4 linked regions of the Arabidopsis thaliana genome follow. The protein of the gene in region 3 interacts with the protein of the main gene of each other region in a pairwise test. Each region holds a gene or a part of one and is shown on either strand. Other genes may lie near its edges.

Region 1 (7,871 bases), on a different chromosome or scaffold from region 3:
CCAAAGAAGAATAATCATATGAATCATCATATCCATCCTCCACGAGATTTTCCTTGTTGTTATCTCCAGAATTATGCATATCATAGTCCCGATCTTGATCTTCCTCTTGCTTCACCTCTTCATCAGTCTCATGGACAGATTTATCTGTTTGGCGAGTGTCGAGGGCATGAAGGTCATCAGAGGATCTAGAGTGGTGAGAAGAATATTTGAAAGGTGAAGACTTCTCTGATGAAGAGTCAGCAATATTAGGCAATGAATTCGACCTCACCATCAAAGGTGAATCATGAGGTGTTTGACTGTTTGAGTTGTCCATCTGTTCACCATATAAGGAGGTATCATCGAGTTGACGGCTGTCTTTATCAGTATGATGAAGATCTCCAACCGAGAAAATAGACCCACAGAGTGCTTGATTTGAACCCTGGTAAGCAGAAACAGAAGCTCGAGGACCTTGCTGATACAGATTAGGACTTTCATCTACACGCTTGCTGCTGCCTGCCTCGTGAATACCACTCTGTTGTTCAAGAGAATTCGGAGAAGTAATCCGATCTGATGCATCGTCTGTTCCATTCTCTGTGGCATCCCGCCCATCCAAGTATAGTTCATTTCCATGAGATTGACTTTTCTTGAGATGCAGTACCTGGTGCGTCCCAATACCATGCTCAAGAATGCCACTGGGCTTAATTTCCTCAGATTTCCAGACACGCTCAACAGCGGCTGGCTTGCTGTTTTCACTAACAGAAGCAATGTTTCTCCCAAATATAATTGAGCTCAATCCTTTTGATTTAGACCCATCTTCTTTGATCACTCGTTCTGAAAATCCTTCAACAGATTTCTGCATCACCAGAACATAGAAACAAATTAGCATTCTCTTATTGGACAAAGGAGTCTTGGACAGAGAATGTAAAACTATCGTTCTAAAGACACAAGAGGCAATGATGGTTCAAGTTACCTTAGGTCTATGGCGGTGGATGTGAGCGTTGAAGCATGAAAACCTGACCATTGTGTCAAACTTAATAACATCGAACTACATCACCAACGGAAACTAAAAAAGCAAAACCAAACCACAAAAAAACGGTTCTTTACTTTACAACCACAACTAAACTAGAAACAATTAAGATCCAAGTTAAGTTTTTGCACGAATAAAAAGTTCTTATAAAAGCTTAAGAGGTGGTATAGTGGGCGTAGTAAATGTTAGCCGTAATCAAGGGTAAGACCCTCAGAAACACGACGGAGCCTCCAAATGATAGAAGCTAGAGAAATCCTTGGAAGACAGAGTGAAGTCACCACTTCAAGGCCACCCCACACCTGCGCAGAGGTGCGAGAAGCACACGACTTTGCAGAAGCGGCCAGAGTGAAGAACAATTGTTTCGAGCTTAATAAAGCCCCAGTCCCTTTGTTAATCCCCAATTACTTGGTCACCTGAGGAAACAATTGAACAAGAGAAAAGGAACAATTTTTAACACCGACCGACAAAAAAAGCAAAAAGCTTGCAAGTCAGATTACAAAAAGGAAAGAAGAAACAGAAAACAAAATCCATAAAGATCATCTTTTTCAATACCTACCGACAAAAATCTAATCAGCAATCAAAAACATCAACCGTTGGACGAAATTACGGAGACACAAAGGTCAACAAGTTCACAAAACACAAACCCGTAATAACGAAACACGAACAAGTGATGGAAAATATCGCAGGAACTAACACAGAATCGGAGAACAGTGGAATCGTCGTGAGAGAGAAGAAGAAGAAGAAGAGAGATTCTTACCAGGGAGGAAAAGGATTGGATTTGAAAATCCAGATGAATAATTGATTAAGCGTAAAGATTCGAAATCAGTAGCAGAGAAACCAAAAAAATTATCTTCAAAATTTGAGTTTGAGGCAAAGCAACGCTAACCCTAAAAGAAAAAGAAAAAAACCTTTTTTGGCCGAATCAAAATTGTACCACATACTTTCTACGAAAACTAGTCAACGGCTCTGATTTTTTCTCATGTGACGAAATCTCCTAGTCACACATTTCCGAACCGCCTTTTACGACTAAACCGGACTATCATAATATTTTGGGCCTAATTTGAGCTTTATTAATAAATGGGCCTTACTTTGGTTATTTTGTAATCACTGGGATTTACATACTCAATTCGGTCAAACCGGTAACGGTTTAGGAGCAAATTTAAACAAAAAAAGGCTCATTACTGGCTCACTGTATCTCTTTGGGGACCGTTTAGTTACCAAAATGAAGAGAGCTCTAACTTTTACCAATTACACGATGCAACATTTTCACATCCTAAACCGGTTTCATCATATATCTATACAAACCGGAATTTCCTAATCTTCCTTTGTACCTTTCTTTACTTAATCCATTGACGAGCTAGATTCGTCAGTCTCATCGTCCCCGCTTAAACTAGAAGGCAGTTCCACACCAGACCTACAAACATAACAGTATGATCCAATAAGCCGATTTGATATCTCTTTGGGACAATAAATGCATTACACAATGGTTGGTTACTAACCGATTTATCTGGCTTTTTCGTTCAAGAATCTCGCTGTATGATGATGATTTTGGTGCATATACTTGCTGAATATACCCATGTTTCACTCGTTTGGCAACCTATTAACATTCGTTAAAGGTCAGAACACGAACTTGATAGAGCCTCTAAACTTTGTTAAAATATACATCAATATCTATATTTTTAAGATAGTTAACCATCAAACTCACCGGTGGTTCATCAGTCGAATGCAATTTCTCTCTCTGCATTTTCATTTGATTCCTCTCCCCGTGATATATTCCTGCCTTTAAAAGAAGATATCACACAAAACACAAGTCATATTTCCATAAAAGGGCAAGAAAGGAACATGTAGACATGGAAGTATTAGACAAATCTTTACCATCCCAGAAGATGGACCTCTATCCATTGACTCAGGGGATCTGCTTCTACTCGGAGGTAACAGCTTCGAAGATTTAGTGAGATATCCCGTCTTGCGTCCGCCATTAGATATATTATTATCATAATCATGAGACTGATTGGTTTCAATATTGCTTCCAGAAAGATTTTGGACGTTGGCAACCAGATGGTTTCTCGACCCTTCAGCCCAACTTTTGGAACTTATCCAACCCTTCTTGCTGTTAGTTACAGGGATTTCCCGTGGTGAACCTTTGAATGTCTCTTTAAACGATTTGTGGCGAGGTACAGAATTATAGAAACTGGTAGAAGGGGATTTCAGTCTTGGTTCCCCAAAACTTTTCTTATCTCTTAGACCAGGCTCCATTCCAACCATTATGTTGTCATCATCATCATGCTCATCATCCTCTGAATCTGGATCTGGCGAATGCAACTTTGATTTACGAGCTAATTCATAGCTCTATAAAGACATTAAGACAGAAAACGAAAATATTAATAATACTTCAAAGAAAGTAAGATAATTTAGCCAAAGAATGTGATGGCAGACTAAGATTCTAGTTTATATTATCTTCATGGGTATGTAGTATACAGAAAATGTTCACTTACAGGACCAGGATTAAAGCTCTTCCTCGTTCCAAGTAAATGTGGAAGGTGAGGCCGTCTCTGATTCCCAACATATATTGGCTCTGACAAAACAGTTGATAGAAAAAGCAATCAAATCCGACTGGACATGGGTAAAGGCATTCACAATCTGACACACGAAGAAGATGGTTTTAGCTTCTCTGAGCCACTTACTCAATACTCATAACATCATAAACCAGAAAATTAAAGGTAAAGTTGAAACATTTTATCATGACTCACCGTGAACTATAGGATTAGTCTGAGGCTCAAATGCACCGGGAGGAAGAGGATCAAATTCAACCCCCAGAGGTGGACCATCCTCTTGGTATTGTCTTCCTAATTGTCTCTTTACGGCAGTGATAGCAAAATTCTCACTCTCTCCCTTCACTTTCAAGTATCCCGAAGGCTTATTATACCCATAGCTTCTCATGAACTGAGGATGCTGAATAACGTCTTTATGTGCAACATATCTAGAACTTTCCACATCGCGAATTCCATCTTTGCTAGAGACAAGATTCTTACGTAATGATGAGCTACGATCAGAAGATGTACTATCTTCACCATCAGCATTTCCCATATAAAGCCTTTGACTTTCAACTTCCCTAGGCTTGGGGTTCCAATAATCCGTTTGCTTTGTACTACCACATGAATCCTGTCGAAGCCCACTTCCACGATCCTGAAGAACAACGCTTGACCGATCTTGGCTCCCAATGGCATTCCCATCTTCTTTTACATGACGTTTGTCTTTTAACCTTCTATGGCAGAACCAACCTGAAACTTGCTTCTCAGTTAATCCAACTTCCTCTGCTAACTTGCCCTTCATTTCTTCAGTCGGATACTTATGCTCTGTAGAAAAACCAAATCACACCTGTAAAGCATATACAACTTGGTATAAAGGAACATATGCAAACAACAAAGCCATAATTTACCATTGTAGAAATTCTCAAGCGCCATAACTTGCATAGGAGTCTTAAGCTTCCGTTTTTTGCTGTTTTCTGTAGAAGCTTTATCGCCATCAGCGGTCGCTTCGCCTGAATCTATCGAAAATAGCACATAAAAATCAAAAACATAAGAAGATAATAGTGAAACACGGACACCATTCAATAACCAAGAGATGCAAAGCCCTGACCAAAATCAATTTCATTTTACAATCATGCTTTGTGTATTTAGAAATGTTGCTAGTAATTCCGAAATTCAGGTAAAACATCTACACAAGCTTCACATAAAAGGGTTTAATTTCAGAATTATGGCTCTTTCTCTCATCAGCCAAATACTTCTAAACCCAATCAAAACGAACGAAAACTTTGGAATTCCTTAGCTTGAATAATTAGTAGTACCATAAAACAAACCAAAAAAGGCTTAAAATTTCCAATGCCATTGATGAATTTCGCTAATTAAAACTACAAAAACTGGGAGTTGCATTGTAATTCGACGAACTCGGGATCATTAAAAACTATTCTCTCACGTAAACTCGCAGGAAGACAGAGATTGAAATAGAGGAAAAAACGAATTTCACCTGAGTGCATAGCGAAAATTCCCAGAGATTGAAGGAACAAAACCTAATCAGCTCCCAAAAACCCAGATTTTTTTCTTTCTCCTTCTTCAAAATTCTGGTTTTTTCTTATGAGAGGAGAAGAAAACTCTTCTTCGCACACAAATGACAAATCTCTTGAGAACCATACCGGTTTCAGTAAACCGGAACATGGGAAATACGTGAACCGGGTAAATCTAAATTTGGGCCTTATTGTGGGCCTAAATTGGACAACGAAGGAATAAGAAGAAGAGAGGCGTCGAATGTTTCTTGTGACAGAACCGCCATGGCTACAGCTTCAAGGTTTCTTCTACGGAAATTGCCGAGGTTTCTCAAGCTGTCTCCAACTCTTCTCCGTAGCAATGGCGTAAGAGTTTCAAGCAATCTGATTCAAGATTCCATAGAACCGTTGGATTCCTTCTGGAGAATAGGATCTCGAATCCGCCATGATTCTTTGACTACCAGAAGCTTCTCTTCTCAAGGTCCTGCTTCTGTCGATTACAGGTACTTTAATATTCTCCATTTTGATCTCCTTTATTGTATCTGAATCGTTAATTTCATGAGAATATGAACAAAGTGGAAGAAAAAAACAGTTCGGTTTTGCAGGAGGAAGAGTTTCACAAATTAGCCAACTTCACAATTAATCACCTTCTTGAGAAAATTGAGGTATTTGAAGCTGGAACCTTTTTCTCTCTAGGGTTCTTCGTTTTACTTGAGATTGCAATAGCTTACACTATGTTCTACTTGCATGATTCATGTTCAGGATTATGGTGATAATGTTCAGATTGATGGTTTCGACATAGATTATGGGGTAAGGATTAAACTCTTTTAAGCAATTTAAGATCTTGTTCATATTTCTGGAAATCTATGTGTACTTATTATAGTCAGTCCTTTTGGCTGTTTCCAACAGAATGAAGTTCTTACCCTTAAGCTTGGATCTTTAGGCACTTATGTACTGAATAAGCAAACTCCAAATCGACAAATCTGGATGTCTTCACCTGTGAGGTAAAGATTCTTTCTTGCCTTTTGAAAGTTGCTAACTTTAGGCGCCTAGATTGAATTTCGCATCTGGATTATCATGTTCTGCTCTCTCTTCTGATTTTTGTACTCATGATATTTGGAGAAATGAAACTGTTTATGACTGTATAGTGTTGTTGCTCTTGACTTTGTGCTTCCACATCTTAGATTCACATTAATGTAATCTTCATTCTTCCTTTTGTCTCGGTGCAGTGGCCCTTCTAGATTTGACTGGGACCGTGATGCTAATGCGTGGATATATCGGCGAACTGAAGCAAAGTTGCATAAACTCCTGGAAGAGGAGTTAGAGAATCTATGTGGTGAACCAATCCAACTCTCATAAAGAAGGCTTTAAAACAATATTTGTGAGCGAAAGGGTTTCATCTATGAACTTGAAACTGCTATACCCTGTTAAAGGTATATCTATGAAACATCCAGAGGAATAAACAAACAAGGCAGAAGACAAAGTTGTTTTAGTGTGAAAACTGATTAGTGTTTCTGAATCTATTTTTAAACAGTAATGTCTCATAGTGACATTGTTGCAAGTCTCTTTGTTTAATCAGAGCTGAAGCTGCCTTTTACAGGTTTACGCGTTTTAGATGAAAACATTTCTTTTGAACGACAAAAGTCCTACATTTGTCAAAACTCCTCGAATCTCACAATAATTTCGGAAAAAAGTTGGTTAACAATGTTTGCAGGGTCAATCTCCACTTCTTCGAAAGCACCAATAAGGACAAAAGATTGACTTCTTCAACATCATTGTCCCCTTTTTCCAGTAATTCACGTTTAGGTACCCCTATGTCTCTCTCATTGTCAAAAAATACTCTAAAAGTACGTATTATTCAAAAAATGTTGGATCTTTTTGAACTATTTAGAGATCCATCGCGGAAAAAGTTGACACAAAGTGCGTGAATTGGTCACATGTGTATCTACATACAGTGGCTAAGAGAGTGTAAATAGTATCTACTACTTTCATGGCTTTTGGTTCAGATGCTCAAGTGAGACTTGTTCTGCTTTTTCTTGGAAACATCTTAAAACACATGATTAGCTGCGTTCCACATATTTACTTTTCAGGTGGGTCTTTCGTTGACGTTGAGGCAAACTTTTTCTTTTTTCGTTAGACACGTTTTGAGTTGAGTTCTTAAGCAGAAATAATGGAGATATCAGATGAGTAAAAAAAAGCTAGTACTGGTCAGAGAATGATTCTTTCTGTCTTCTTCTATATGTTTTTGCTGCATATTCGTCGATTAGATTGTTTTGTTGCAGTTCAAGACTCCAAAACATTGTTCAAAGGTTCAACATTGATCAATGACAGCCATGGAGAGACTCTTGTTTCAGCTGGTCAGAGATTTGAGCTTGGCTTCTTCACTCCTAATGGAAGCTCCGACGAAAGAAGGTACTTAGGGATTTGGTTTTACAATTTACATCCACTGACTGTTGTCTGGGTTGCAAATCGTGAATCTCCGGTTCTTGACCGTTCCTGCATTTTCACCATCTCTAAAGATGGGAATCTTGAAGTTATTGATTCAAAGGGAAGAGTGTATTGGGACACCGGTGTTAAACCTTCCTCAGTATCTGCGGAGAGAATGGTAAAGCTGATGGATAATGGTAATCTTGTGTTGATTAGTGATGGAAATGAAGCAAATGTGGTTTGGCAGAGTTTTCAGAATCCTACTGATACATTTCTCCCAGGGATGAGGATGGATGAGAATATGACTTTATCATCATGGAGAAGCTTCAACGATCCATCACATGGAAATTTCACCTTTCAGATGGATCAAGAAGAAGACAAACAGTTCATCATTTG
Region 2 (5,676 bases), on a different chromosome or scaffold from region 3:
ACACATATGACACTTCAATATAATGTTCAGGTTTAACGTTATCATGTACCCTTTATTGCAATACTCAAATCTTCAAGAATCGGGTAAAACGAGATAAGCAACTGTATAGCTTCATTATTGGCGTATATACGTAGACAAAACTCACTTAGGCATTGTAATCTGCAAATTCATTGGCATCAAATATCCAACAAAGCCAGAGTTTTTCCACCTCTTGGACAAAACACTACTTTTAACAACATTTTTTGTTGGAAGCTGTCACCAAAGCATCTGACTCATCAAAGTTGGCTTCTCTGCATAAATTATCGACATCTAACCTTCAATATCTATTGTATATTAAAAATCTGAACATAGCAGGTTTTCAAACTCAAATATAAGACTCAGACAATTATAGAAGAAGCCAAGACTGTTTTTAGAAACTTGAGAAAATAGCATTCATACTTGGGAAAACATACAATTCAATACAAACTCGTAATCAGGCACAAGAAGAGACAGTTAAACTCATAATCTAAATGAAGAATACATATATAATAGATCATTATAAAACGTACACCAAGTCAAAGATCAGTTTTTGGAACAACAAGAACTAATTATAAGGGAACATCATTGGATCTGCAAACGACGGTGCTTGATTCCATGCCGCAAACTGATCAAAGGGGACAAGTGGGGTTTGTGTCTGCATCTGAGGAGGAAAAACCATGGGAGGAAGATCAAAGTTACTTCCTAGACCAGATCCTTGTTCCCCAAGTAAAGCCGATTGGTCAAAGCTAGAAACTGAGTCAGGGACTTGATAGAAGCTACGGTTGTCATGGTTATAGAGAAAGACTGAAATTCTGCTCTGATTTTGACTCAATGATGACGTCGATAGGTCTTGCTCTGTGTTTGACACACCACTCATCAATGGTTCTGTCCATTGTTGATGACGATGATCCTCAATTAGCGAAGGAGGAGGAGACAATGGATTCGTTGTGGAAGAAACCGCACGGGTCTGACCAAACTCGGTCTGGTTTTTCTCGGGTTGGAGTAACAGAAGCTTATCTTGTAGTACTCGTAGACCACTTTCTAACGAATCCTCCATCTCTAAGACTTTCTCCGACAATTTAGTGTCGTCGAGGATCTTCTTACGTAGAAACAGAGAAAGGTTGGTTCTTTTCTTGCATCGCTCTCTCTCGTGTAATCTGCTAAACCTCTCAGCCATGTCTCGAACTTTTGATTGATCCTCCGGCCATGTCTTGATGAGTTTTCCGTCACGACCATAGTATATGACACAGACATCGATGTTGCACAGAGTTGAAAGCTCCAAGGCTTTCTTGAACATGGTCTGTTCTCTCATAGACAAATTCGTGGTCTTTTTTGCAGTAGAAGAAGAAGACAGGGACGATTTCTTGAAACAAGTTTGGTTTCTCACAGACAATTTGGTTTTCTTCTTCGTCGACATTGAAGAATCCATTGTTGTTGTTTACCCACAGAAAAAGAAGAAGAAGATACCTAGTTTCTTATCAGAGAGAAACCTAGAAAATAAACTTAGTGTAACTAACACACGGTTCAGGGTTATATAGAATTGTGAAATTCTTGTATTTCCATATAATATTTGATATTGATTTTACTAAACCAAGAGAGACAAATTGAGCTGTGGGTTTTATTTCCTTTTTCTTTAGAGTATCTTTTCTTCGTTAAATGATGATGATTTACTTCTATTAATCTAACCGTTGTGATATTTAAGTAATGAAATTCCCTTTTTGTTTGCTGTCTATGAGATAAATCTTAATTAGATACGATTTTCCTTTACCAATATCAATGTAACCGTTGTAGATACGATCTTAGATACGATTTCCCACATCCAGTATCTTATTATATAAAGTATAGTTTTTAAAGTTACTAACTCATAAGATTGTGGCACGTGTCAAGTCTAATAATGAGAAGTTTATATGTGTCATTAAAGATTTAACTTTTTAATTTTCTTAAAAAAATAGAAAACCTTAAAAAGAAAAATTTACATATATTAATTTCTTATTATATAAAGTACAGTTTTCAAAATTACTACCTCATAAGATTGTGGCACGTGTCAAATCTAACATTGAGATGTTTACATGTGTCATTAAAGATTTAACTTTTTAATTCTCTTAAAAAAATAAAAAACCTTAAAAAGAAAAATTTACATATATTAATTTATATATATCTAACAATATTTAAACTTTATTTTTCTTAACAAAAAAGAAAATTAACAAATTTGAAAACACATATATTATTGGTCAATTAAATAAATAATCATGTATTAATTTAAAAGAAAAATCATTAAGTATGAATAATAACTAATTAAAAAGACCACTTAAGTTTAAAATAACAATATAATTTATTTAAAATTAATTTAATTGGATAAAATTGTGTTTATCATTGTAATATAGTGTTTTCATTTGTTAAATTTTGAACACAAAAATATTTTTAAAATTTAGTGACCTTATTATAATAAATTTTTAAATATTTAAGATTTATTCTAAGAATTTTAACGTATTCGGTGATTGAGCAACTTGGATCCTTTGATATGTCACTAAAAGCTTATAACTATGTTTTATTGTAAAAAATTTAACGCATGTAGTCATAAGTTAAAACACAAGATTTTTGGAGAGAACAACTTATATGATTTACTTTTCAATTACTTAAAAAGAAGTTAGTATATTTTTTAATTAATTTTAACTCATTTAAAATAAGTTTACATAAGAGAAAATTACGCCATATATAAAGAAACATTTTAAAAAGTTTTGCTTTTCAAATATTTTTGTGGATTTTTTTTTTGTTAAGTTTTGTTTACTGTTTATTATTTTTTTAATATCAACAAAGATATATATTAGATCTGATATAAATATATTTTTTTAATAAAAAAAAATTCACTTAAGATGAAGTGTTTAGAATGAAAATCGAGTATATTATGATGAAATAGATACTTAAATTGTATTGCAAAATTGAATGTGTAAGATAGAAATTTGTAGGTTATTATTTAGAATTCAAATATCATCAATAAGCTTGAATGTGTAGAATTAAAATGTATGATAAAAGAGAATGTATAAGCATCAAATTTTGTTAAATAAAAAAATATTAAATTAATTGTCAAAAAAAATATAAATTACTATTTTATTATTCAACATTTGAATACTGTCAATAAAGATTTACATCTAAATCACACACCCGCCTATTTAGGCGGCCTTATTAGTTTTTTATAAAATAGTCCCAAATTTTAGTTTTAAGTAAACACAAAGAGGAATATTTATACTCTTCCGAGTTCGCTGACATATGGTAAAATGGGCCTTCGTTTTCTTTTATCCGCCTTCATTGTTGGGCCCTAGCCCAGTTGTTTTTTTTGCGCAAAATTAATACATCGATGGGGATTGACTCTTGACGCTGTCGATCATCACTATTCACTAGCACTAGTAACAATGAACAAGTCATTGCTTACCTGCAGAATTCATTTTCCACGATCAATTTAATTTGGCTGGACAAAATACAACGTTTTTTTTTCATGTTCCCTGTACGTAACTAAAAAGTAAGACAAAAGGAGTGGAAATGGACATTATTCAACGTAAAGACTTTTTAAGTCGTTGCGTTTAACGTGAAAAACGCCTCGGAGGGTCAAGCTGTGTTGGAATTATCTTTGTGGAATAGAGTCTATTATTTTTGTATATAAAGAGATGGGCATGAAAACATGTTACGTACCATCACAATTTCCAGATTTTATTTTTTTGCTTTTTCACTATCAATATTCAAGAAAATTAAATTAGCTTAAGAATGATGGAAGGCTTTTGGAACTCAAAGAGTATCATTCGTATTACTCTCTCTTTTATTTTCTTATTCATTTGTCATTTTCTGGACGTGCTTGCGGCTCCAACTAGGAACTTGTGTCGTCCCGAACAAAGGGATGCACTCCTCGCGTTCAAAAACGAGTTTGAGATTGGGAAGCCTTCTCCTGATCATTGTAAGATTTATGGCATTGAATCTCCTCGGAAGACGGACTCATGGGGGAATAACAGCGACTGTTGTAATTGGGAGGGAGTCACGTGCAATGCCAAGTCCGGGGAAGTGATCGAGCTAGACCTAAGCTGCAGCTCTCTCCATGGCCGGTTTCATTCCAACAGCAGTATTCGAAACCTTCATTTCCTAACCACTCTAGACCTTTCATTTAATGATTTTAAAGGTCAAATCACGTCATCAATTGAAAATCTTTCTCATCTCACCTATCTCGACCTTTCTTCTAATCATTTTTCGGGTCAGATTCTGAATTCAATCGGAAACCTTTCTCGTCTCACCTATCTCAACCTTTTTGATAATCAATTTTCGGGTCAGGCTCCATCATCAATTTGTAATCTTTCTCATCTCACTTTTCTAGATCTTTCTTATAATCGGTTTTTTGGTCAGTTTCCGTCTTCTATCGGAGGTCTTTCTCATCTCACCACTCTCAGCCTTTTCAGTAACAAATTTTCGGGTCAGATTCCATCTTCAATTGGAAATCTTTCTAATCTCACCACTCTCGACCTTTCTAATAACAATTTTTCGGGTCAGATTCCATCTTTTATTGGAAACCTTTCTCAACTTACCTTTCTCGGCCTCTTTAGTAACAATTTCGTTGGTGAAATCCCATCTTCTTTTGGCAATCTAAACCAGCTGACCCGCTTATATGTTGATGACAATAAGCTCAGCGGAAACTTTCCCAATGTCCTACTGAACTTGACAGGGTTGTCACTTTTATCACTCTCCAACAATAAGTTCACAGGCACGCTTCCTCCTAATATCACTTCACTATCCAACTTGATGGATTTTGATGCAAGTGACAACGCCTTCACCGGAACGTTCCCTTCTTTTCTCTTCACCATTCCTTCTTTGACTTACATTCGTTTGAATGGTAACCAACTCAAAGGCACTCTTGAGTTTGGAAATATATCTTCACCATCTAACCTATATGAGTTAGACATTGGCAACAACAACTTCATAGGACCAATCCCTAGTTCCATTTCCAAATTAGTCAAACTTTTCCGACTTGACATTTCCCATTTAAACACCCAAGGCCCAGTTGACTTTAGTATCTTCTCCCATCTCAAGTCACTCCTAGATCTAAACATATCCCATTTGAACACCACCACTAGGATCGACTTGAACTATTTCTTATCATATTTCAAAAGGCTCCTTTTATTGGATCTCTCAGGCAACCATGTTTCGGCCACAAACAAAAGTTCAGTTTCAGATCCTCCTTCGCAATTGATACAATCTTTGTACTTGTCAGGGTGCGGTATCACTGAATTTCCAGAGTTCGTAAGAACCCAACACGAATTGGGGTTTCTAGACATTTCCAACAACAAAATCAAAGGTCAAGTTCCTGACTGGTTATGGAGGCTACCAATCTTGTACTACGTGAATCTTTCCAACAACACTTTAATCGGTTTCCAAAGACCATCGAAACCTGAACCATCTCTGCTGTACTTGCTTGGCTCCAACAATAACTTCATAGGCAAGATTCCTTCTTTCATATGCGGGTTGCGTTCTCTAAACACACTCGATTTATCTGACAACAACTTTAATGGTTCAATCCCTCGTTGCATGGGACATCTCAAGAGTACTCTTTCAGTTCTAAACCTTCGTCAGAATCATCTTAGCGGAGGTCTTCCAAAGCAAATATTTGAAATACTGAGGTCT
Region 3 (8,626 bases):
GTCTAGCTAGCTAGTTAGGCCTATTGAAAGCTACGTGTATAGAAAACTCACATTCTTAGACTTTTCAAAGCATAGGTTTAGAGAGATATTCATGAACGGTGATTTAATGTATAACATTCCAAAACTATGATGATATGACGCGATGACTTTGTTTCATTCATTGACTTGAATCCCTCCATTCCTTCTATAAATTAGTGCAAAATGCTACGATTTTAGTATATAAAGTTGCAAGCTTAACATTAATCATGAAGATGTGTAATGGATCCAGTTTCTTAGCCTCATTACCACTGTTATTGCTTCTTCTCAGCTTCATATTGGCTTCCTTCTTCGACACGGCAGGTTCAATCTTCTTTTAACCTATTGATTATACCACATTGGTCTCTTTCTGATTCGTTTTCAGAATTTTATTCTTTTCACTAATGATTCTTCTTTTGAATTTTAAGTTGGACAAATCGGAGTGTGCTACGGGAGAAATGGAAACAACCTGCGACCCGCGTCCGAAGTCGTGGCGCTTTACCAACAACGGAACATCCGGCGGATGCGGCTGTACGATCCCAACCAGGAGACTCTCAACGCTCTCCGCGGCTCCAATATCGAGCTCGTGCTCGATGTTCCAAACCCTGATCTCCAGCGTCTCGCCTCCAGCCAAGCGGAAGCCGACACATGGGTCCGCAACAACGTCCGCAACTATGCAAACGTCACATTTCGCTACATCTCTGTCGGGAACGAGGTACAGCCCTCAGACCAAGCTGCGAGCTTTGTCCTCCCCGCGATGCAGAACATAGAGAGAGCAGTTTCAAGCCTCGGGATCAAGGTCTCGACGGCTATAGACACCAGAGGCATTTCCGGGTTTCCGCCGTCAAGTGGGACGTTCACACCGGAGTTTAGGAGCTTTATCGCACCGGTGATAAGTTTCTTGTCAAGCAAGCAATCTCCTCTGCTCGTGAATAATTACCCTTACTTCAGCTACACGGGAAACATGCGAGACATCCGGTTAGACTACACTCTGTTCACCGCACCGTCAACTGTAGTCAATGACGGACAAAACCAATATCGAAACCTATTCCACGCAATCTTAGACACTGTTTACGCATCATTAGAGAAAGCTGGAGGTGGTTCGTTGGAGATCGTGGTGTCCGAGAGTGGTTGGCCGACAGCGGGAGGAGCAGCGACGGGTGTGGATAATGCGAGAACTTATGTGAACAATTTGATACAAACTGTGAAAAATGGATCTCCGAGGAGACCAGGGAGAGCTACAGAGACTTATATATTTGCTATGTTCGATGAGAATTCGAAGCAGGGTCCCGAGACTGAGAAGTTTTGGGGACTGTTTCTTCCAAATCTACAGCCTAAGTATGTTGTCAATTTCAACTAATATCCTTGAAGACACTTCACGATAAAGCGATATGAGATAAATGACTTGTATCGTAAAGGTTTCCTAAGAGTATGGGAGCTTATTGTAATAGTAAGGAATAGACTAATGAGACCAGAAAAATAAGAAAAGTCAAGTACGTTTTTACTTCATCAGTTCAATATAGGGCTCTTCAATATTATAACTAGCAATCAACTTGTTTAGAAAACGCACATTCTTAAACTTTTCAAAGCATATGATATGATGAAATTAATCAATTTCTTGACTTAAATCTTCGTCTCGTTTTATAGACGAGCCGAAAATGGTACTATTTAGCCTTACCGCTTCTTTGACACCATAAGTTCAATCATCTTTAAGTTTCAGGCACATTGCATATAATAACGTGTAAGGTATGGAGTTTTACTTTATTAGAGAAAAAAATATAATAAATTTTGAGATGTTATTTAAGACACAATTTAGTTTAGTGATATAAATTTAAGTTCAAAAACATATGGTCTTTTGTATTTTTAGACGAAAAGAAAGAAATCTGTCAAAATAGTCCACAAAGTAGAGATAATTGAAAGAATGGACTTTTGAAAATTGTCCACTTTCATATTCTAGAGAATTTGTAGAATATATGGATCTAAAACTAGCCTTAAAATATTCATAGCTCTTAAAATATTCGAATATCTCAGAGAAAGAACAATTACCTACGAATAAAAAAGGAAGAAGTTAAAACTCTCCATGCATTTTCGGTTTTATGTTTTCAATAATTTTAAGACGACTTCGGTTTTAAGTTTTCTTTGGTAAACATTTTCGTCTCGTCATTATTCCTCATGAACCATGATAATCTACCAGAAGTATACTAAGGTCTTTTTAGTTATTTAAGCGTCTTACAATGTTGTGGCTCTTCATTGTTTACCTCTTGTGATAACGGGACTGATATTTAATCAGCTTTCATGCTGCAAACTAACTCACATTTTACAAATTGATTTGGATGGGAAGCTAAAATGCAACGGAAGGGTGACAACTTTATGCTAAAACACCCATTTCCTTTGATCATCAAACTACATGCTTAAGCGCCAAACCAAAGGTCTTTGCACGGAGAAAAAGTTTTAAAAGTTACAAAGCTGGTGTTTGATAGATATGGAATGCAAACTGATCATGTTTATGTTTTTATTTTCGCTTATGCAGAGGCAAGCTGACACAGTGAATTGTGATATGATTCCGACGAGGTCAACATAAGTGTGTTGGCACACCGAATTATATTATGCAATGAAGGAAAAATAGTTGAGTTGGATAGCTTTTGAATGCGTCTCATGATCATGCTGCGGTTGGCTGAGCTGAAGATGGACATGTTCGTTCGAGGTATCTCTCATGTCTAGACCATTTGTGAGAAGAGAATTCTTGTTTGCGATTTTCACACCCTCGACCTCTGAAACCTGGAATAAGCACATATTATCATCAGATAAGAAAGAAAAAAATGTTCTAGCAATTTTAAAGAGTATCTTGGCTCCCAGATACTTCCCAAAACCCAAAGGTACCTTTTCATGTAGTTCCATGTTCTGTTGGTGCATTAGGTTTACTTTCTTGTGGAGGTCTAAATTCTCTTGGTGAACGAGATTCCCCTGCAACCGAATAAAAAAAGAATTAGCAATGTGCTTACCAACACTATGGAAAACGTCTAAAACCTATATCACAGTAACCATAGTCCCACCTCTCGGTTAAGTACTTGTATTTCTTCGATTAACATTTGATCCTGCAAAAGGCAAAAGAAGAGCGTAGATAGAGTACATCCATTACTTCTTCTAAATGGTTCCAAAATTTGACTTATTTGTCACAGCATCAAAACCTTTTTCATTCGAACGCCACGAAGGCTCAATTCAAGCTGATTTTCCAAATTCTGTAAAGCTTCTACACTTAGTCCAGAGAGCTCCTCCCCCATCATTTGCCTGTCAAGTACAAGCTCTTCTGAATATGCATACTTTTCCAGAGTTACTATATACATTTCCTAATTCACCAAAGCAAAACAAGAAAACGATGGGGAGTGTGAAAGTGTTTGGTTATTTCCTTCTTATGGATGGTTTAGATGTGTTTATGTATACAACTCTTAATCCATTTGGCTTACTATTCTTTATATCGACTATCCTTACTAAGCAAATGCAAATGGTAGGATAGTTTTGGGTTCTGCAAAATCTTCTAACCTTGGACTACACGTATGTTATCATTTTGCATTTTAGTACATATTTCCCTGCTCTAGTTGTTACTACTATCGAGAGTGTTTGACAAACTCAGAGGATGCAAAACATACCGGTGGTTTTCTTGCAAGTTATGTAGCTGACGCTTTAGAATCGCAGCCTCCTTTTGCCAGAACTAGAATATAGTAGAAATGATTTTCAGGTGTTTGAAACTGTAAACAAGTATTTTGTTTTCGGATAAATATGTTATCTAGTCTACAACGGATTCTTGACAAAATAAAATGCAACACTATGTATGCAATCTGATGTTCAGGTGGCATGACTTGTGTTTTATAGCAAACTGCAAACCCTACTTCAACATATGATGTGTGGTGGTATTTATGGTCTGCAACTCTGATTAGATATCAGGATCAGCTTGAGAGGAATTAAAAGTTGAGAAATGCTAATGAGTTGTAATAGGCTAACATATTAGTACAAGAATCGAGTAACAGTCTCTCTGTTGTAGTATGTTACTTGTTTTGTCTACTCGTTGAAATCCATAGGGAGGAGTAACAAAAAAAAGGAGTACCTGAATTTCTGAAGCGGGATCATTTTCTGAACTGGTTTCTCCTTTGGCATCGCTGTATCTCTCTATGACCGATTTCATGCTGCCAAAAAAGAGAGTAGTTTCATAGTTGTAGAGTGTGGTTGATAGGTAATGTAACCCAAGCAACATCCACTGCAACATTTATCCTTACATCTTTCAGTGTCAAATTTTCTTACTTAAATAGATTTAGTTAACCCTAAGCCATCTCTGTCTACATGGAACAGGATTCTCAGCACCCCAACTACAGATTCGCAATAAATCTAACATAATGTATGAAGTTTAAGCAGAGAATGAGAGAAGCCAGACAAAATTGATGTAAATAGAGCCAACTCTAATCAGTAAACAGTATAGATATCTTGCTGTCTTTATTGAAGAGAAAAAAAGAAAAAAACAGAGTCTCAGTTCAAAAAACAGAGAAACAACAAAAGCTCTGCAGAACAATGGAAGCTTTCTCCCTCTGAAACAGATCTAAGAGCCAGATTTTATTCAACCTTTTTTAATAAACAATTATGTAAACACGAAAGATACAATCAAATAAAGAAATGAATGAACTCCTAAAGTAGAAATTCAGAAAGGATTGAAGATATAATATTTTTCTAACAAATCGCAAAATGTTCCCAAAAAGAAAGACTATACTCCTACATATCATTAACAAATGACCAAGTTGAAGAATTAAAAAAACAAAAACTTGATTATGGATGACAACGAAATCAGAAATGATTCCCCCACTTGTGTACTAACAATATATATTAAGAGAAGATAATGCAGCTCATTTTAGGTACATCAAACCCACCAACTAGTTGCCAATAAAGTAAATGAACAGTGAAAAGGAGACGATTCTTTCTAAATCCTCTCTAGAGTTTAGAGTTTTCTTCAACCACTAACCACTTTCTCCCCTCCTTTCCTCTTCTGATAAAGTTTCTACCAAATTTAGTATGTTTCAATAAACACCACAAGTCCCTCACAATCTATGTTCCACACAAATATCGTAATCATCTCCAACAACACAGAGAACACACTCTCATATTCCCCTTACAAAACATATTATCATTCAAACCAAGTGATTTCTTCTGCAAATTATCAGACTAAGTTGATCTACGATTCCTTCTCTAAAGCAATTGAATTTGCAAACAATTAACAAGAAATCGACTTAAGAAAGAAAAAAAAAAATCGAGATTTAGAATTTGCTACATCAATCAATCAACCAATTAGATGGACCAAGACCCAAAAAAAAAGTCAACCAAAGAGAAAAGAAAAAAGGTACCTGGAGCTGGAGAAATCGTAGAGCCTACCGGTGCTGGAGAAGATGATGACACCAACCTCAGCATCGCAGAGAATCGCAAGCTCCTTAGCTTTCTTCAACAATCCATTCCTTCGCTTCGAGAACGTAACCTGACGGCTCGTAGAGTTATTGATCCTCTTAATCGCGATCTTGCCCCTTCCCATTTCTGCTTCTATCACTTTTACACACAAACATCATCGTCAATTTCAAATCATCATCTCCTGAATCCAGGGGAGATTTTGAATAAAATAAAAAAATTGAACATTTACCTTTTTCAAAGAATAAACTAGATCGCGGGAAACGAGATCTGGTAATCCGATAACCGGAAGGGGGAGAAGAGAAATTGGTTCAGTTCAGAGATGTGGTTTTGTTGATCGAAAGAGAAAAAGGAAAGAGAAAGAGAAAGAGAAGAGAGAGCCACATAAGGAAAGAACATATGACAATTTGGGATATTTAGGGCAAAAGAGTTTTCTTACTATATAAACATACTTCGCTTGTTATGTTTTGACACATGGCATTCTATAAGTGGGTTTCTTTTCCGATTCTCCTTCTATTTTTTTATTACATTCTTTATTATTCTAGTACGACAGTAGTCTGTCTAATATTAAAAGCGCATTTTTAAAATTCAAAAATATATGTAAATGGACACTTCATTTAATGCATGCTATATTAGCAAAACTTTAATCTAAAAATTATTTAGTTTATTAATCAAAGTTATCAAAATAAGATCAGCATTTGTAGTTAAATTTAAATTCCAAGACAAATTTGTTCTGATTCATTTCATTGGCTTTATATTGTTGAGATACACTCGCCTTTAGATGAAAACTCTCTATATAAGTGAACTAAAACGATGATTCTAGTAGATTGTTGGACATGAAGCAAAACAAGTTCTGTGTTTGTATGATTTGTGAAGGCAGAGAGAGAGATGAAAAGAGGAACAGGTTTAGAGTTTCTTCATGTTGCAGAGATTTATTTGTACCAACCAGCTAGAAAATGCCTAAGCATGAAACAAAATGCGCAAGCAAGAGCCTGCAATAGAACACACAAAACACCAATCTTGTGATTTCTCTCTCTCAGAATAAACCAACTTGTATTTAGAGATGATAATATGGGCATTAACAAGTTTACCTGGAAAACAAGAAGATGAATACATAGAGACTTTTCTGTTTTCCTACCAAAAATCCTCAAGTAGACGTTCACGAGTGTCCCATCTTTTGTTCCTGTTAACAGTCCCGTAGCAGGATCATACCTGGTTTAAAAAAGAGAGAGGAAGAGTCATGTGTTGTTTACTTGTTGGCTTTGCCTCTTATGAAAAATGGACAAAAAATAGCTTACTTGGGGAGACGATGTCGTGGACATTTGACAATGCCAGCAAGCTGAAGAGTTATACAATAGCAAGTTAGATGCTTTCAAATGTATTGAAAAGTAACAGAAAGTGTGAGATGGAGAAAGGTATCAAACCTGCGGAAGTGACAGTAAAAAGTTCAACACTTGAGGAAGAAAAAAGATTAACAGGGTTTCACTGCAAAAAGCAAAGTTTCATAAGTAGTTAGTTAATTGAAGGCTCACACATAAGTTAAATGTAAATGATGAATCTAAGTACATTGCAATAAGGACGGTATGGTTAGAAGTATACCTGAAGTGACCGAGAATGCCAACAACTGCCATAGTCATTCCAGCAAAGACTGTGTAAGTGTCTCCAACAAAAACTGCAGAAGGGTACCTAACATCACCAAAGAGGGGACATGAACGTGGTTAGAGAAAGCATTCTGCTTTGCTAGTTTACCTGATTGATTTAAGAGAAAATGACTTGAAAGATCCAAAGATTACCAATTGTAGGCAAGCATTGCCAAGGATGTTGCCATCAATGGCTGAGTAAGATAGATTGAGAAGGCATGAGCTTGATGATACTCAGTATCAACAGATGCTCCGATTTGCATAACGTTGTGTATCAGAATCTACAAGTTACTGAGATTTATCATAACTTTACTTACGAGAAACCAACAGAAGGAAAAATGGGACCAAAAAAATGAAGCATTGCGACGCATTTTGACAGCAGAACTTACAGCAGCTGCAATAACTACGGTTTGACCGATTTCAAGGCCATTCAAACCAGCGTGAATGTTAATAGAATTTGTGCAAAAGACAGCCAGTAGCGCCATATATAACTTATATATACGTCCTGCCACGATAAATATACAACTAAGGAAATGAATTTCAAAATAGCTATTGATGGTTTAACACTATATACAAGATGAATTGTACCTAGATCAAACACTTCCAAGCCAATATAAGAAACTAAAGGTTTCGGTATGACGATAGTTGTATGTCCAGCATAAGCCATCAACAGTGGAAGGGTTGCAAAAGATGGCAAGAGAAGTTTCCTGCAAATTGACAAGAGTTAATAAGAAAACAAAACTAAATCATGAATTTTTAATCCAACAAAATGAGAACTGCACCTACACTCTCCAAGGCACATCAAGGACGTCATCTACAAATCCAAGCAATATCATGAAGCAAATAGACGCCAGTGCTGCATTATACTCCACAAGCCACTGCACCGAGTCATTTAGCCAGATTGATAAATTGCATTCAAAGTAAATGAGCCAAGAGCTACCAAGTTCATAGTTCACAATAAATAAATGATCAAGCTTGAGCTTTTGAGACCAGGACACTTACCACCGAATCTTCAGTGAAATTAAAGAACTGAAATACAATCGCCACTATCAAGAAGACAATACCGACAACAATTCCCAATGACTCAGGCCTACAAAGAAATAAGATTGCTGAAAATAAGCACATCAAAAGACTTTAAGTCCCCTGAGATCAAATCAAGCGTAAACATCCATAGAACATCAATCAGAAAATGAGACATCTCATAGTTTTCCTCCTATACAAAAAATCAAATCTAAGAGACATCCATTTCTAGAAAAACGCTGAACACTAATCTGAGAACTAAACAAAGACAAATCTAAGAAGGAAAAACATACACTCTAACTTCTCCTTGAGGAGTGCCTCTTTTGTTGATATCAAAACCAAACATATTACGCCTCAGAACGTATCTAGCAGCTACAGGAATCAACTTGAGTGTGACAAAGAATCCAACCAAGCTAAGCCCAGCGTTAATGAGGATCGGACGCTTGAGCTCATTGTCAACATTGTAGTGGAAACAGAGAAGGTAAAGATAAAGCGAACACAGAAGCGAAGAG
Region 4 (8,064 bases), on a different chromosome or scaffold from region 3:
TGATTACGCCTCACGCATAGATCTGATTTCAAAAGTTTTCGGGATCGATGCAGCTGAACGCTACTTTGAAGGTCTGGATATAGATTCAAAGACAGCTGAAACCTATACTTCTCTCCTTCATGCTTATGCTGCCTCCAAACAAACCGAACGAGCCGAGGCCTTGTTCAAGAGAATCATTGAGAGTGATAGTCTCACTTTTGGTGCCATCACATACAACGAGATGATGACTTTATACATGTCAGTTGGGCAAGTTGAGAAAGTACCTGAGGTTATTGAAGTGTTAAAGCAGAAAAAGGTTTCTCCGGATATTTTTACTTATAATTTGTGGCTAAGTTCATGTGCTGCAACCTTTAATATAGATGAGCTTAGAAAGATTCTTGAAGAGATGAGGCATGATGCTAGTTCCAATGAGGGTTGGGTTCGGTATATCGATCTTACTAGCATCTACATAAACAGTAGTAGAGTAACTAATGCAGAGTCTACTTTGCCTGTCGAAGCTGAGAAATCTATTTCGCAAAGAGAATGGATCACATATGACTTCCTTATGATTCTGCACACTGGTCTAGGGAACAAGGTTATGATAGATCAGATTTGGAAGTCTTTGAGAAACACCAACCAGATATTGAGTAGTAGAAGCTACATTTGTGTTCTTTCATCTTATCTAATGCTTGGTCATTTGAGAGAAGCCGAGGAGATTATCCATCAGTGGAAAGAGTCTAAAACGACAGAGTTTGATGCTTCTGCTTGCTTGAGGATCTTGAATGCTTTTCGAGATGTTGGTTTAGAGGGAATAGCCAGCGGCTTTCACTTGATCTTGGTGCATAACAAATGCAGCTTGGAGAATGAAGGATCATCTTAAGATGGAGAAATAAGTTGGTGAAAATTTTATGCTCTTAGCAAGAAGAATCAGATCAAGCTCATTAATCATGGTGGATGAATAAAATAGAGGTTTCTTCTCTTCACTGTGATTCTTAAATATCTTTTTGTTCTTTACGTGGGAGGTCATGAGACACATAGATTTCCTCACCAGAAGATTTTGCTGCATAGTCGGAAGATGTGTTTCCTTAGGCAAGGTCCATAACATTTCATATGTAACGTCAAATTTCAAAAAGTCCAAATTTTACAACAAAAAATAGATTGTGGAGGTTTTTCTTGTATGGTTGTTGTTTAATAATAAGTCTACAAAATTTGTTTTTGGTATAGAAAAAATGATAGTTTGAAAGGTTAGAGCAAAATCCTAGCATGTAAGAAGCCAAAGAAGGTTCCATTATTAACACTCGAGTTTATTACATGAACATGATACACAAACATGTTTAGACCCATGAGAGAAACAACAGAAGCAAATAACATTACAATAGTACAAAACTACAAGGCCTTTGAAGAGCTTAAGAGCCAGAGAGATTAGAAAAAACAAAAAAGATGACAAGTTATGGGATTGATAGCAACAGAAGAGTAATAATGAGACAAGAGAGAGTGGGGACATAGATTTTCACCTAATGAAAGTGGGAAGATTTCAATTTCCACAAGTCACAACCACTCCAAAAATTTCAATATTTGCCTTTTTGATTTTTCTTCATCCACACCCACCACCACCAGACCTTCACAGAGATATTATTATTACTCACGAGTAAAGATAATTATTAACGATCAATGAGCACCAAGACTTTGCTTTTTTCCCTTCTTTCACTTTTCTTCCACTCCAAGCACAGAAGAAAGTGACTTTTTTTTGGTTCTTTTTTGAGAGAGCATGCCAAATCCAAAAGTAAACCACTATTGATCCAGCTAGATGAACAGTGGATACGGTCCCACTAGGGTCACCAGGCGTGTTCTAATTGTTTCAAACCCACGTTAATGAATTTGAGAGAATCTTCTTCATCAGTCCTTTACCTCATTGATTATCTTTTGTCCCATGTCTTCTCTTTAACCAACCAAACATGCCTTATCAATAGGACAAAAGGGGTTGTAGGTTTTTCACCAATGGTTATTCAAACCCTTTGATGAGTTTAAGCTTTGCTTCAGCAACTTGAGGTAATCAATGGCTTCGTCTAGTAGTAAAAGAGCTTCTTTTCCCTTTGCCCCTGGAACTACACTCTCCAGGATTCTCAGAGCGGTGTGAATCTTGTCTTTTCTTGACTGCTCGTCGCTCAAACCAGAACCCGTTTCTTGTTTGCTTGAAATGTTTGATTCAGGAAGGTTTTCATCTGATAAGCCTTTGACTTTAGTGGTGCCCACAAGGGATGGTGATGAGTCTCTGTACGAATGGTCCAGTAGTTTCTGTCTTTTAAGAAGTGGACCATCAACAGTGCTTTCAGTTTCATCCAGCTCTTCTGTTGTTATGTTGCACGCTTGTTGTTCAACTGTGAATGGAGAGTGACCAGTGCTCATTACTTCATCATCACTTTCCCAATCATCATTATCGTCATCATCAGAATACAGTAACGCGTTGATTTCCTCAGTGTCTTCGTGCATTTCCGAGTCTTCTTCGCCATTTTCATGATCTTCATGTTGCAATATCTTTTCTTGAATGGCATGATCTTTACTAAACCCTTTCTCTGGGTGTAGGGCACCGAGAATGTTCCCTCGCTCTGCATCCATAGAAGAAGGAAACCGCAGAGGAAATCCACATTGTAACAAACGAGTCTGCTCTCCCGACTGATCGAATACTATAAATCTTTTCCGAGAAGACTTGAGTGCCCCCTCTGGAGCAGCACCGTTGCTAGATCGCCCATTCAAACATGAAACTTGTTTTCCACAAGACTGCTGATCATATCTAGACAATAAGGCTTGGAACGGTGGCTGCAAATAGCGAAACTGATGCTCAGCTGCATAAACTTTACCGAGTTCCGGAAAAGGAATTCCAGGACGGAAATACTCAGTCGCCTTGTCCTGGACACAAGCTTGAGGATTTAAGCCTAATGGCAACCATTTCTGCTGTTTGGTATCAAGAGGCATGCTCTTGCAGTTTAAGCCAAGGGAACTTTACAGGAATACAATACTGCACGAAAAAGGAAAGGGACTAATCATTGGACATGGCTATGAATGAGACAACTACTAGTAGCCCAACTCAAGAAAGCAATAATCCATAAAGAGTCAAAGATTCAGTTAGCATACCGATTGTGGAAGCTGTTGCTCAAATGTGTGGAACGCAACACTTGTTGATTCTTTCTTGAAACAATCGTATAAGAAAGTAGAGACAAAAAGAAAAAAGGTGCCAGCTCCAAAAATACAAACACAAGCTCACAAACCAACTACGTCACTGGTTTGAGTATATGTCTAAAGTATTCAGCCTGCAAGTGGAACAGAGACAAAAGTGTTAGATAAGAAACACAGGACTATGAGATGAAATGTGACAAAAAAAAGAGTATAATATCATTTTTGCTGCAACAAACCTGACAATTATCCATCGGTTGGAAGCAAGCAATAACTCTCACTACAATTGTTGGTCTGCTAGAGTCTCCGTTGTTCTCGTACTTGAATGTTCGAAATCTTGTTTGACCAGCTGATTGACTTACCATAATAATAACTTTTCCAAACTCTCGAATGTAAAACTAGTGTTTCTCCACAGAACAGAGTAAGTCACCAAAAGACAGATGACTTGAAGAAGAAAAAGAGAAGCTTTAAGGGTTTAGATGATCCTATACTGGTCACAGTGGAAAACGTAGAAACGTTGGGATCCCATTATTAAAGAGTTTAGAAAAGGCTGAGGATTTAGAAGAAGATTGAAGATGGGGTTTTTCAAGGCAGAGAAAAAGTTTACAGAATAACTCGGCAATACAGATTCAAGCTCACAACTTTACGGTACACATCAACAGACCTTGTGAACCAACTCATGCTGTTTTTCTCATTCACTGCTTTGTTGTGATCCAGAGAAAGAGAGAAGAATTCTGTTACAAAACAGAGAATCATCTCATCAAATTCCAGTAATAACAAACCAAAGAAACCAAACATTCACAACAATTGAAAGGATAGAGAAACCATAAACAGCAGAAGAAGATAAGTACATGTTCTGCAGCATTGAACAAGTATAATTTATTTTAGCAAAATCAAGAACTAAAAGCTTGGATTTTGCAAGCCAAGCTACGAAAATAGAAGAATTTATCCGTTTTGGTAACGATTTAAACACATTTGCATCAAATTCGCTGATAATTCAACTTTTTCGAGGAATAAAAAAACAGAGAGAGCACAGCGACAAACAATGGTTAAGTGAATCCAAGAAGCGTACATGGAGGAAAACAGAGGAAGATCTATGCGTGGAGATCCAGAGAGAGTGGAGAGGTTTATGAGACGAATTCACGAAAGCTTGAACGGATAAGAAACGAGAAAGCGGAATATTATTTCGAAAATATATTTTTAGCAAATTCACTAAAAGTGGGCGTGAAGACTGAAGTGTGTGACATTGCTTTATACATCTTCTTATTTCTTGTGACGATTTTACCCTTTTCCACCACTTTATTTACCGTCAATAATGGAGACCAGGAAAAGAAAAAGAAAAAGAAAAAAACAGTTCACATCAACCAAGTTTATTTCAGATTTTTTTTTTTTTTTTTTCATTTTTCTTTCTCTTCCAAAATTTAGATAACCAAGCTGGAACATCAACTCTAAAAACTCATTTGAGCAAAACATAACACCATCTCCATTGCCCAACTTTATTTTCTTCTATTTTAATATTAACTCAATTTAAGAAGAAATATAATTAATTTTACTCTATTATATATTTTAGAATAGAGTTACTACTAAAATAGAAGAAAAATGTAGAGATTACTCTATAAATAGAACAAAAGACAACTTACTCTATATTTGTTTTCTATTTTAGAGAAAACTTTATTTTAGAGTCATACAATGAAATAAAATACCTTTAAAATAGAGTCAATTTTAAAATAGAAGAAAAAATAGAATTGAACATTGGATATAGTCTTATTATTTTGATTTTTTACTATTCTTTTTAGTAGAAATTAAAACTAAAATACACTTTAGTATGAGTTTCAATTCATATTTCTAACACATATTTTTTATAAAGAAAAATTAAATTTATTTAATTCAGTTCAATTTAAATTTATTTTAGAAAATACATATAGTATAATTTAAAATGCATATAATTTTGAATTGAATGGTAGAAATAATCTAAATATTTTTATTAGTTTGGATGGTTGCAATGGGACGAGGAGTAGAGGAGGTGGAACGTAGAATATATGTAATTATGATGTATAATGGCAAACCCTCGCGATCCATAATTTCAAGCCATAAATTAATAATTATGTAATATCATAAACGTGAGAATTTCTTAGTAGTTCGTTAAAGTAAAGCCATTATATGTTCGTCTTCTTTTTAACTTTTTTTTTTTTTTTGGGGGGGGGGGCAACGTTTTTTCTTTATAATTATGAGCCAAATAGTGGAAGTGAGTTTTTAACCATTTTGGTGGTTTCTATAATCATTATTTTTAAAGTATTAACCTTTCTTTTTAGGTGTGTGGGTGGGATGATTTGGAACATTTATGTCTTTACGATGACGCGATACAAATTGAACTATATACATTGTAACATATTTGACTAGTTTAGTAGCTAGCTAAATAATACAATATTTTTGACGTGGCTTATAAAACACCAATTTAGCCCACTCGTTTTTTCATATATAATTACGAACTATTGTACATGATATTTTAATAAGTGATTGAGGTGAAAAACGTTGGAGCATCCACCAAATTCCATGATCATAGGAGAAAGAAAAGAAAACGAATAAAGAGGTAAGCAAGTTTGGTGAAAGAAGAAAAAAAAAGAAAAAGAGAAAGAGACGCAAGTGAATGATTAAAAAAATGCACAGGGAATTAAGTGCTTAATTGCCTTGATGACTTCTTTTTCTTTTTGGAACATTTTTTCTAAAGATTTTAATTTCTCGTTGAATCTTTTTTCTTTATTTTGATGTGATATGAGATTTGAGAATAGTCGTTGCCGTGTGAGATCAGTGGACCCAAATGCCTACTATGTACTTCAAAATTCTTAAAATTTTAGGAAACAATTATTATGTGTTCTATTCGGAAGCAAATCATTGAAACATGTTAAAAGAAAGACAGTTAGATAGAAATTTCAGTGTGAAAAAACAAAACATAGAAATTTCAGTTCACATAATTGAGACTGGGCTTTGGTTAGATGAGTGGAGTGGCCATGCAAAATGGAGCCTAAACATGGCCTTGGACTTATTTTGGGCCATGTCTCAGCTTTGGATAACTCTTATACAATCTCATAAAACAAACACCAAATTGCCACCAGCTTCAAACTCAAGTAAAAAAACTTTAGAAAGATTTTATTTCTCTTTTATAGAGATAATATGATCAAAGTCAATAAAAGAAAAACATTATTGTTAATCTTATTTTCTTATAATTTTTTGCATAATTTCTAATTTAGATTTTTACAAACAAACAAAAGAAATTGTAATTTAGAAGCGATATTTCATATTTTCTGTCAACCAAGAAAATAGAACATAGTACCCAAAGAAAAAAAGGAATATACCAAATGAAGGTCCCCAGCAAAAGTATATCCCCCAAGTCCAAGAGACTTGGACCGTCCGAAAAAGTCCCTTTGCTTCAATCACTATCAGTTTTCGCATTTACTAAAAAAAATATTTGTGCAAATAAATAATTTATTTTTATACAAAAATCTCTAGTAAATATTACCTTAATCGCTATATAATTATTTTCAAAATATTTTAAACGTATATGAAATGTATGAAGAAATATGGGAATCTCAAACATTTATTAACCTAACTACTTGAAAAAAATTAATCAAAATTTAACGTCTTTTAACAGACCACGAACTTGTTCCAAGGTAAGGAACAAGATCATCGTGAACGGTCCTTGCCTCGTCGCCGTCGGAACAAGCCCTTTGTACAAAGCCATTGGTCCTTCCTCTGCCACCATCTTCACCGCACAATCCAACGGTCCACCGTAAATCTCCTTATCCGCATTCATCATCCTCGTCTTCACAACGTCGATGGGATTCGACGCCACCGCCGCGACGATCCCCGCCGCAAAACTCGCCGCTACATGCGTTCCTATCCCTCCCGGCGTTCCACGGCCACCAGCTACCAAGATTTCTTTGACGTGATCATACGTAGCGAGCTGAGAAGCTGTCACGATCATGGCACGGTTCACGGTTAGCCATGAGCCACGCCATAAACTTGAAACGCCTTCTTGCCTTGCGATCCTGTCGATCGCGTCCACGACGCTCTTGTAGTTTCTGCGACGGTTTAACGGCAAGCTTCCGTCGGCTTGCATTCTCACCATCGCCACGTCAGCAGGATTCCCGACGACTGATCCAACGGCTCCTGCGATGAGTCCAGCTGTGATCTTGGTTACCAATGGGAAGTTACCTGTTTGGAATTATCGTTTACGTTTAATTTATTTGATCTTTTGTGTAATAATATGGAAAAAATTCGAACCAAACAAACCGAAACTGTTTAAGATCGAAACCGAACCAGCATTTGTTTATAAATCCATTGGTTTTCTTATTTAAAACCAATAACCGAGAACTGTAAACGACTTTTAGTGTAATCAAACCAAACCAAACCGAATAAAAACCAAAATTATTTTTTGAGTAATATTGTTGCCGATCGAGTTTAGTATTATTACCGGTGAGTTGATCAGTCCACCTTCGTTTAAGAAAGTCGTATATACCCATACGGGTGGCAGAGTAAAGCATCTGACGGAGGATGGTGGCGGAGACGCCGGAGAAGAGAGCGGCGGGTCCTTCGGTTTTGACAATGTGTGCCCCTACGGCGAAAGGGGTCATGACGGAGCGCGTGGAAGAAGACGGCGCGTGAATGTGTAAGGGTAATAAGGAAATGCTGCCGATGAGAGAGTCAAGAGCGAAAACGGGTCGGTAAGGTTTCACGGGAAGATTATGATCAAGGCTAAGATTAGGGTTAGGGTTTTGGTCGAGCGAGAAAGAATGTTCGCCTTGAAGCTGCATACGGACTTTGATGAGGTCTAATGGGTGAGTCAGAGCTCCGGCGATGATTGCGGCGATGCCACCTTCAAGAAATGGTTTGAAGCCCATTGAAACGATTACCGGA

The links.
Region 1: the proteins of AGL16 (region 3) and AT4G03250 interact in a two-hybrid assay, tested with the Arabidopsis thaliana proteins (one large-scale study listed by BioGRID).
Region 2: the proteins of AGL16 (region 3) and AGL53 interact in a two-hybrid assay, tested with the Arabidopsis thaliana proteins (one large-scale study listed by BioGRID).
Region 4: the proteins of AGL16 (region 3) and AT5G09460 interact in a two-hybrid assay, tested with the Arabidopsis thaliana proteins (one large-scale study listed by BioGRID).

What each region holds. Positions count from the first base shown.
Region 1 is NC_003075.7:1,422,221-1,430,091, reverse strand, and holds AT4G03250 (Homeodomain-like superfamily protein), read right to left. Parts: upstream 5,191-7,871; 5' UTR 5,043-5,190; coding exon 5,033-5,042; intron 4,554-5,032; coding exon 4,446-4,553; intron 4,363-4,445; coding exon 3,757-4,362; intron 3,582-3,756; coding exon 3,502-3,581; intron 3,356-3,501; coding exon 2,882-3,355; intron 2,787-2,881; coding exon 2,712-2,786; intron 2,604-2,711; coding exon 2,506-2,603; intron 2,421-2,505; coding exon 2,348-2,420; 3' UTR 2,030-2,347; downstream 1-2,029. Other genes in the region: AT4G03260 (Outer arm dynein light chain 1 protein), read right to left, coding at 1-832, 950-1,000; FH (frataxin-like protein), read left to right, coding at 5,334-5,551, 5,641-5,713, 5,811-5,858, 5,958-6,052, 6,278-6,407; AT4G03230 (G-type lectin S-receptor-like Serine/Threonine-kinase), read left to right, coding at 7,264-7,871.
Region 2 is NC_003076.8:9,523,512-9,529,187, reverse strand, and holds AGL53 (AGAMOUS-like 53), read right to left. Parts: upstream 1,448-5,676; coding exon 584-1,447; downstream 1-583. Other genes in the region: AT5G27065 (uncharacterized protein), read right to left, coding at 4,486-4,521, 4,584-4,859; RLP53 (receptor like protein 53), read left to right, coding at 3,778-5,676. UniProt on the Arabidopsis thaliana protein: Probable transcription factor that may function in the maintenance of the proper function of the central cell in pollen tube attraction.
Region 3 is NC_003074.8:21,174,665-21,183,290, reverse strand, and holds AGL16 (AGAMOUS-like 16), read right to left. Parts: upstream 6,010-8,626; 5' UTR 5,687-6,009; intron 5,643-5,686; exon of another isoform or gene 5,596-5,642; 5' UTR 5,582-5,595; coding exon 5,400-5,581; exon of another isoform or gene 4,277-5,399; coding exon of another isoform or gene 4,197-4,276; coding exon 4,118-4,196; intron 3,725-4,117; coding exon 3,663-3,724; intron 3,304-3,662; coding exon 3,204-3,303; coding exon of another isoform or gene 3,189-3,203; exon of another isoform or gene 3,111-3,188; coding exon 3,069-3,110; intron 2,980-3,068; coding exon 2,896-2,979; intron 2,794-2,895; coding exon 2,620-2,793; 3' UTR 2,265-2,619; downstream 1-2,264. Other genes in the region: BG3 (beta-1,3-glucanase 3), read left to right, coding at 246-339, 444-1,375; AT3G57220 (Glycosyl transferase family 4 protein), read right to left, coding at 6,387-6,446, 6,546-6,666, 6,753-6,793, 6,879-6,939, 7,054-7,140, 7,248-7,375, 7,484-7,599, 7,683-7,801 and 3 more. UniProt on the Arabidopsis thaliana protein: Probable transcription factor involved in the regulation of flowering time in long-day photoperiod. Participates in the repression of FT expression and floral transition, by interacting closely with the FLC-SVP pathways.
Region 4 is NC_003076.8:2,942,466-2,950,529, forward strand, and holds AT5G09460 (transcription factor bHLH143), read right to left. Parts: upstream 4,375-8,064; 5' UTR 4,223-4,374; intron 3,885-4,222; 5' UTR 3,390-3,884; intron 3,288-3,389; 5' UTR 3,112-3,287; intron 2,996-3,111; 5' UTR 2,953-2,995; coding exon 1,972-2,952; 3' UTR 1,273-1,971; downstream 1-1,272. Other genes in the region: AT5G09450 (Tetratricopeptide repeat (TPR)-like superfamily protein), read left to right, coding at 1-859; DIC3 (dicarboxylate carrier 3), read right to left, coding at 6,776-7,362, 7,622-8,048.